2 linked regions of the Diceros bicornis minor genome follow. The protein of the gene in region 1 interacts with the protein of each later gene in a biochemical or structural test. Links are inferred from orthologs where the notes say so. Each region holds a gene or a part of one and is shown in the gene's direction. Other genes may lie near its edges.

What was found. The genes of interacting proteins can lie anywhere in the genome.
Region 2: of the proteins of RRAD (region 1) and CAMK2G, one has a biochemical effect on the other in vitro, tested with the Homo sapiens proteins (2 studies listed by BioGRID, with this or other methods). The link is inferred for Diceros bicornis minor from reciprocal best matches to the Homo sapiens genes RRAD and CAMK2G.

Annotation. Positions count from the first base shown.
Region 1 is NC_080771.1:18,868,582-18,872,928, reverse strand, and holds the start of RRAD (GTP-binding protein RAD), read left to right. Parts: upstream 1-1,414; 5' UTR 1,415-1,565; coding exon 1,566-2,136; intron 2,137-2,787; coding exon 2,788-2,861; intron 2,862-2,990; coding exon 2,991-3,195; intron 3,196-4,072; coding exon 4,073-4,344; 3' UTR 4,345-4,347. UniProt on the Homo sapiens protein: May regulate basal voltage-dependent L-type Ca(2+) currents and be required for beta-adrenergic augmentation of Ca(2+) influx in cardiomyocytes, thereby regulating increases in heart rate and contractile force.
Region 2 is NC_080745.1:32,813,679-32,818,025, forward strand, and holds the start of CAMK2G (calcium/calmodulin-dependent protein kinase type II subunit gamma), read left to right. Parts: upstream 1-1,264; 5' UTR 1,265-1,332; coding exon 1,333-1,397; intron 1,398-2,747; coding exon 2,748-2,842; intron 2,843-4,347.

The DNA of each region.
Region 1 (4,347 bases):
TCTTCCTCCACTTTATATGGGACACCGCCACAGCATGGCCTGATAAGAGGTGCATCGGTGCGCATCCAGGATCCGAACCCGGGCCACCAGCAGCGGAGTGCGCACACTTAACCGCTATGCCACAGGGCTGGCCCCTCACACACCCCAATTTATAGCTGGGCAATCTGAGCCTGGGAGGGAGGCAAGACCCAGGAGACTGGAGGCAGAGCCGGGACTAGAAACCAAGCCTTCCCATTACATGTCCCCCCTCTGTGCCCCTGTGCCCACCCTAGGTCTAAGGAGGAGGTAAGCTCTGGGCAGTAGTGGCTAACCACTCCCCACCATACTCTACACCTGTGTCCCTCTTGGATGCGAGTCTGGCTCTCCAGGCCCTGCATGTGCCCTGAACAGAAGGCCCAGTCTGGGGCTGGAGGGAAGGAGAGAGACACTGAAGACTCTTCAAGTGGCTGGATCCAGCCCTGACCCTGGTCCAGTCCCACCCCTACCCGCTCCTGCTGGCATCTGACACCTGTCTGCCAGGATTTCCTCAAGTTTGGGCAACCTCCAGCCGAGGAGTGGAACGACCAGGAGCGGAATGACCAGGGCCAGGTATTTTTAGCAAGTTGCTGGCAGCTGCCTGGAAGGTGCTGGGGGGTGAGGTGGTTCATTCTTTCCCTTCTCTGGGCCTGTATTCCTCCCCAGGATTCAAGCATGCACCTCTACCTGCAACACACAGCCAGAGGCCTCCCTTCCTTGCCCCCTCCCCAAACAGCTCTCTAGGGGCCCCCAGGAGCTCATGGGGTGACAGTAACCCTCACCCTGGAGGGCAGGCTCATCAGGTAGAATCTTCAACTCCCCAGGGCAGGGAGGGGACGGGGAAGGACTTGGTGTTGAGGCTAGAAGCCCAGAACCCCTACAGTCTAGCTCAGATATGGGCCAGTGGGGAGTGGGTGTCATGGGCAGAGAGGGGTGAAGTCTGTCCAGCCTATAACTGGTCTGCTTGCTTGGGCAACAGGCCAGGACTTGGGGAGAGAGAAGGGAAAATTCACTTTTAAAGGGCCAGCCTTATTCTTCCCCAGAGGGGAGTTGGCGCACTTGGCTGCTCTGGCTTTCCCTCTTGCCCTCACCCATGATGGCACCCTCCACGCCGATCCCCCTGCCCCTCACCATTCACATACTCTCCCTCCTCCTCCCCCCTTCTCTGCCCCCACCAACCACACACTCAGACCTGGGCTTTGTCTGCCGAGTCCGTCCCTGCCCCGCCCTGATGGGTGTGAGGTCCTCCGAGGAGGGTAGGGGATTCCCCTGGGGGGGGGGGACCGACACGTCAGCCCCCGCATCCGCGTGGACGGGGGCGAGCGCGGGGGTGGGGGCGGGGGCGGACAGAGGCTTAAATAGGCGGCTCTGGAGCCCAGACCCAGTGCGGACTGAGAAGGCGGCGGCTGCGGCAGCGTCGAGTGTCCACGAGCCGGGGTCTGCGAGTAGATTGTATCCGAGCCCGAGACTAGTCTTGACCGTCTCCGTCTGCCAGTGGGTGAGTGTCCTGGCCGAGCGGGGTGCGGGTGGTCGCACTGTCTGGGTTGCGGATGGACGAGTCGGGAGGCTGGGTCACCAGTCAGGGTGCAAGGACCTTCACGGCTGGGAGGGGACTGCGGCAGGTCCTCGGCCTCACCATCTTGCCTGACCCCGAATGGGGCAGGCGCGCCTGGGGTCCAGCCTCTCATACCATTTCCACCGCGGCTCACGCGGCCATGGCGATTCCCGTTCCCCAGACGGCGTCAGACGCGATGACTCTGAATGGCGGCGGCAGCGGAGCGGGCGGGAGCCGCGGCGGGGGCCGGGAGCGCGAGCGCCGTCGGGGCAGCACCCCCTGGGGCCCCGCGCCCCCGCTGCACCGCCGAAGCATGCCAGTGGACGAGCGCGACCTGCAGGCGGCGCTGGCTCCGGGAGCTCGGGCAGCGGCTGCAGCTGGGACCGGGGCCCAGGGTCCAAGGCTGGACTGGCCCGAGGGCTCCTCCGACTCGCTCAGCTCAGTGGGCAGCGACTCAGACGAGAGCGTTTACAAGGTGCTGCTGCTAGGGGCGCCTGGCGTGGGCAAGAGCGCTCTGGCGCGCATCTTCGGTGGTGTAGAGGATGGGCCTGAAGCAGAGGCTGCAGGTGAGGGGCCGGGACTATTCAAGGGAGGGGAGATCCCAGGCTTAGGACTGGAGTCTGCAGGGCTGGGGACCTGTGTTAAAAGCGGCGAATAGCATAGGATTCTGAAGGCACTTTCAGAAACATGTCTCTACCTACCCGTTTCACAGATGGGGAACCTAAGGGAAAAGGAACTCCCATGGGTAGGGGAAGAAATGCCCAGAATAGAAGGCCCAGGGCATACATAGACAACTCTGTAGAATGAGAATAGGACATCCCTCCCTGCCAGGGCTGGCAAGAACACAGCCAGAAAGAGTTTCTACAAGAAGAGCCCTAGGTGACCAAGGCTCCTAGGAGATGTGACGGTCCCTGTTTTAACAAAGGTGACTGTGGTCAGAGCTGCCCTGGGGCCCAGGCAACAGGAGAGCAGGGAGCACAGGAGTGGCCACCCAAGACATTGCTAGTTTGGGGAAGGGGAGTCTAGGTGGGGGTCAGGCACACCATGCCCTCCACCCCCCACTTCCCAGTCCTGTCACTTCTGTTGCCACATAGCAGCCTTCAGTGGAGGGGAAGGTTAGGGGGGCATTAGGGAGGAGTTGGAGGGTGTAGCCAGAACAGGAAAACTTGTGCATGGTGGGCAGTAGTAGGTAACCTGACTACTGGTCTCCCGCCTAGGGCACACATACGATCGCTCCATCGTGGTGGACGGAGAAGAGGCATCACTCATGGTCTATGACATTTGGGACCAGGTAGGATGCAGGCTGAGATCCAGGGCAGGGTGGGAGGGGTGAGCTAGGGGTAGGGGCCTGCTGAGAGTGACAGCCTTGTAGCCTTGGCATGAGGACTATTGGGTAGATGTGTGTGTGTGCGTTCCCTAGGATGGGAGCCGCTGGCTACCAGGCCACTGCATGGCCATGGGAGATGCATATGTCATCGTGTACTCAGTGACAGATAAAGGCAGCTTCGAGAAGGCCTCAGAGCTGCGAGTCCAGCTGCGGCGGGCACGGCAGACAGACGATGTGCCCATCATCCTGGTGGGCAACAAGAGCGACCTGGTGCGCTCTCGTGAGGTCTCCTTGGATGGTGAGTAGGGAGCGGGTTGGAAAGGGAGGGAGATCCTGGCTGGGCTGTGGTCCACTCAGTCTTGACTCAGCTTGAGTCCCCAGGGATCATCAGTGGCTAAAAATGTTCAGGAAGAAAATTTGAGGTGGAGACCAGGAGAGCTGCTGCCCTCCCAGAGTACTCCCAAAGACCTGAGAGTGCTCGGGCAAAGACTAAATGCGCTAGGAGAGGTGGAGGCTGCTGGGTGCTGAGCTGGGGCACCTCAGGGCCCTCGGCTCCTGTCCCCTTTGGCCATGGCCTGACAGACCAGGGGTGAGGAGAATGCAGGGAACCGGGCCAGGAGGTCAGAGCGTGGATTCCAGGCCCAGGCCAGTCTTGGTGTAGGCTTGCCCATGGGGAGGACCGTCTCCTCTTGGGCTTCTCCCCTGTGGCCCCCAGAACTGAGCCTCTCAGAGGAACCCAGCAATGACTTGGTGACATCCCCCCCACCCCACCGGTCATTCATTATGATGTAACATCAAACCACAAAACACTAAGCTGTCCAATGAAGTTCTCATTTACCTGTGTTGACTATCGCAGCACTTCTATTTACATATCAAACTGCAAATTATTTCAGTAAGTGAGTCTCCTTTTGTGGGTCTTTGTGAGCTCCTCAAACACTGCACACTCTGCCAGTTGGGTGACCCAGCCATTGCCTGGGACTCTCCCTAGGCATGGGAGCATGCCTAGGAGGCATGGGAGCTGGGGTCTCTGTGTTTCTGGGGAGGACCCAGGGCTCCCCCTTCCCTTACCCACAGATTCCTGAGTGTTAGCTGCCATCGGGTGGTCGGGGTTTAAATGGGCTCCTCACCCACCCACCCTTTGTTTACTGGGGTGTGCTTGTTCCCACTCACACCAGAGGGCCGGGCCTGCGCCGTGGTCTTCGACTGCAAGTTCATTGAGACGTCAGCTGCGCTGCACCACAACGTCCAGGCACTGTTTGAAGGTGTCGTGCGCCAGATACGCCTGCGTCGGGACAGCAAAGAGGCCAACGCACGTCGGCAAGCTGGGCGGCGAGAGAGCCTTGGCAAGAAGGCGAAGCGCTTCCTGGGCCGCATTGTAGCACGCAATAGCCGCAAGATGGCCTTTCGTGCCAAGTCCAAGTCCTGCCACGACCTCTCAGTGCTCTAGGCC
Region 2 (4,347 bases), on another chromosome or scaffold:
CTGACAGTGGGGACAGAGGAAGGGATGGTAACTCCCTCTGCCAGGGCCCCAAGGAGTCCCTTCATTCCACAAATATTTACTGAGGGTCTGGGGCTTGAGTATACAACAGTGAACAAGGGAGGCAGAGGCCCTGCCCTATTAGAGCCTACAATTTAGTGGGAAGGCAAATGTTAAACAAATAATAACAGCTAACTGCTATAATTAGATGCCAGTACTATTCTAAGTGCTTTATGTGATTTAGCCCATTTACTACTCACAACTTGTTTTCTTCTCAGTTTTCAGATAAGGTAACTGAAGCACAGAAAGATTAAGTGACTTGCCCAACGTCACACAGCTGGTCAGTGAGTTGCCTAGAAATCCAAGCCCAGCCCAGAGTTCACTCTTTAGACAACCATGCTTTAGCTCTACTGCCTCTCATATCTGTAAACATATCATTACAAAAATGTGATGAGTGCCATAAAATAAAAATACAGGGTGCCTGCAAGAGAATGGGGATATTTGCTCCTTCCTTCTGCTTGCTCTTCTAGCCCACATGGCATAAAGCCTTTTCTAATCGGTCCCACTTCATCCTTTGCATTGCTGGCCAGAGAGAGAACATTCTCTCATCTCTAAGGTTGGAGTGCAGGCAGGCAGAGTTCCACCTGCATCTTTGGCCATGTCCTGGTCTCCCTGAACAATCCGTGCCTGAAGGGTTTTATCTAATAATGGCCGTGATGCTTACACAAGTCTAGACTGTCAGCTTCCCGAGGGAAAGCTGCTGAGAGCTGGCTCTGCACAGGCTAGGGCCAGAGTGTGCAGTCTGACACAGGCTTTTTGACCTTGGCCCTTTCTCCACAAGGTGTGAGCCGGGATGGGGGCTTAGGACCCGTGTGCGGGGCCCGCCAGAGAAGTCGGTGGTCCAGACCCCTACAGGATCCCAATACACACACACTCGCACGCACATCCCGAGCCCTTGCAGGGTCCGCCCCGGGACAAGCCCACAGGTCGCGAACATTTCAGCTCCCTCTGGGTGGCCCCAGGCTGGGACCCCCCTCCCCTCAGCTCCCCAGCGCGCGCCGCCCAGCCCTGGCCGCTCCGGGGCGGGGCGGGGCCGGCGGCAGGAGGCCCCTCCCCGGGGGCGGGCCGGGGGCGGGGCGTGGGGGGGGGCCGGCAGGGCTGGGGGCGGGGCGGGCAGCCGCGGGGGTGTCCCTCCCTCCCTCGCTCTCTCCGGTAAAGTCTCGCGGTGCTGCCGGGCTCAGCCCCGTCTCCTCCTCTTGCTCCCTCGGCCGGGCGGCGGTGACTGTGCACCGACGTTGGCGCGGGCTGCACCGCCGCGTCCGCCCGCCCGCCAGCATGGCCACCACCGCCACCTGCACCCGCTTCACCGACGACTACCAGCTCTTCGAGGAGCTCGGCAAGTACGGCCCGCCTGCCACCAGCCGCGGCCCCCCACCCTGCCCCCGCCGCCCGGGCGCTATGCGGCTCCTCGCCCCGCCCCCCGGCCCTGCACCGGCCGCTGCAGCGCCCCCTCGGCCTGCCCCACCCCCAGCCTTTCCCGCCCGCTGCCTCCGGGGCCCCCTCGCCCCCCGCTCCCTGTCCCGCAGCCCCCTCCGCGCCCTGCAGCAGCTGCCCGGGCTGCTGCACCCCGCGCTGCCGCGGGGACTGCAGCCCCCGGACCGCTCCTGGGCGCCCTCCAGCCCCGCCCCTCCCGCACCCTTCAGGCGCCCCCCATCCCGACCCCGCCTGCTAGCCACCCGCTCCCCACCCTGCTCAGGAGCTCACTCAGCACCCTGTCCCATGTCCCGCGCGCCTGGCACTCAGGACCCTCCCTGGTCCTGCAGCTCCAAGCGTGCTGCGGTGCCCGGCTGTGGGGGGATGTTTGGTGCCCGGCCCCGCCCCCCCGCTAGTGTCGCTTCCAGGATCCCAGCCCCGCTGCTGGGCAGTACTGCAGCACCCCCTGTCCCCTCCCCCCATTCCTGCAGTGGTCCCGGGAGTCGCGCGCCGCAGCCGCAGCATCCCCCTCCCCTCCGCACTGAGCTGGCCGCTGCAGCAGCCCCGGCCCCCCCCCCCCACCCGCGGCGCCGAGCCCGGCCACTGCAGCCCCCGCCCTGCCCGCCCCCCTAGACGTTTCCAGAGCTGAAGAGTGCGAGCTCCCATTTGGGGGAGAAGTAGAGGAAAATATCTTGGGAAAGGGGAGCTATTTATGTCTGAGACCCATAACAGCATCCTCTCTTTCTTTGCTGTCAGTTGAGCCGGGATGCAGTGGGATCAAGCCAGTTATAGGGGATTTGACCCTCACTTTCCTCGCCTTCCTCCTTGGGTGAGGGAGATTTCTTTCTTAGGGGATTACACCCTCTTTCTAATCTCTCCTTCCTCTACCCTCAACTATGTCTGCTGAGAGAAGGGCAGGGTCTCTGTTCCCTTCTCCTGGTTCTCTTGGCCGGACCGCAGGGCTGTCCCTGAGATGCAGCAGGTGTGTGTTTTAAGCATCGCCCACCAGCTCCTGACATACAGCCCTGTTAGGGCTGTTGCTTTGCTCAACCACTAGATGTGGGAGTAGGAGTGGGGGTGGTCCTCCACCCACATCTGTTCAGTGTCCCACAGTGGCCACATCTTTCTGCCCGGTGTTGGATCGTGATGGTCGCTATGCTGGTGTGGGTGTGATTTTGACTAAAGGTCTAGTGATAGGAGCATCGCTGTCCTCAGACCTGAAGCGTGTCTGTGTCACTCTGCTCGGTGTCCCAGTTCTTTCCCCCTTCTCCCTCCAGGGGTGCTTTCTCTGTGGTCCGCAGGTGTGTGAAGAAAACCTCCACGCAGGAGTATGCAGCAAAAATCATCAATACCAAGAAGTTGTCTGCCCGGGGTGAGTTCCCCATCTTGGTCTCTCCCTGGGGTGCCTCCAAGGGCTGTGTCTTCTTCTGAAGATGCTCCAGGAGTTGGAGGCTTATGTTTTAGCACTTGGAGAAGGGTTGGAATTTCAGGGTGGGTGGACTTTGAAGCCAGGCAAGGAGTTGCATAGGGAACTGGAAGTGCTCAGGTAGAAAAGAAGGAAGAAAATGTAAGAGATGTAGGTAGCTGCAGGGACGAGTGGTCCCTAAAGGCTCAAAGGAGTTTGGTTTTGAGGGAGGGGGACGATATGGGGAATGGTGGGTGGCATGGAATGGAGAGCTCTTAATTTGGGGCACTTGAAGTCTCTGCGTTTGGGGCAGTGGTAACCACTCCTAAGTAGCCTGTCTTAGTCCCTGTGCCCCAGTGGTGACTTAAGATGGAAATGTAGTAAGTGAACAGCTCTGACAAATCTAGCCTCCCCCTGCCCACCAGGCGGCAGAACAGACTCCCAAGGGAAGGGAATCTGTAAACATCAGGGGAGGCTGCTACTGGCGAGGGCTTCTCAGGAACAAATCCTGCCAGATGAACTTGATTGCTTTTTTGATCAAATTACAAAGTTGGTGGTGCAGTAGCAGATGCAGTCTGTCCTGGGTGGGGGGTGATGCCTCATGGTCTGGAAATCTCAATGGCTTGGTCTGGGTGGGAGTAGTATTGCCTCAGGGTCTGGGGATTGTGAAGGCCCAGGCCTTGCAGCCTGACTTGCAAGATCCTCCCAAGTACCTGAGGCCAGGAGCGTCAGGCTCTGTCTCGCACGCCTCCAATCTACACTCCCTGAACTTTATATTGGGTGCTTGCCAAACTCGCCTCATCTGATAGGTATAGACCCGGCAATGTGTGAAGTGCTCTGTATACAGGTCTGGTGAGTACGGAGGTATGTGGATGGGTCAGGTCATTGAGGGGTGCAGCAAGGGGACAAAGGTTATGAGACTCAGAGAAAGGAATTAGGGCTGGGCAATAGGATGCCATGTATTAGGAGCTGGGACAGATGCCCTGGGGAAGACATGGGCCACGGCTAGTAATGACCTGGGCATATCTGGCGTAAGAGGTGTAATAGATGTCTCCAAGCATTGGAGAAGCTATAAAATTCCACAGAGATAACAGTGGGCTTCTGTCATATTGACAATTATTCTGGGACCTGTTTAGCAGGGCCATATCTGCCTCCTGGCTAGGAGGGCCTCTCTCCATCCCCACAAGCAGGGTTTGTCTTGCTGTCTCCCTCCCAGCCCCCATCGCTTGCTGTTCCTCTACATTGGCTATAAAGTTGACTTATTTGTTTTATTTCTCTCTGGGTACCTTGAATAGGAGGCAGTGGTTGCCATAGAGATATGTGGGCAGTCAGATGCCCTCCTCCCCTAGGGTGGGGGGACAGTGTGGTGGGCTGGGCTCTTTGGCAGACATCCTCTGGCCAAGGATGCAGGGTGCAGGCAGGGACGACAGTTTGAGAATGGATACCTCCCTGTGCCCACACAGCATAGCCCT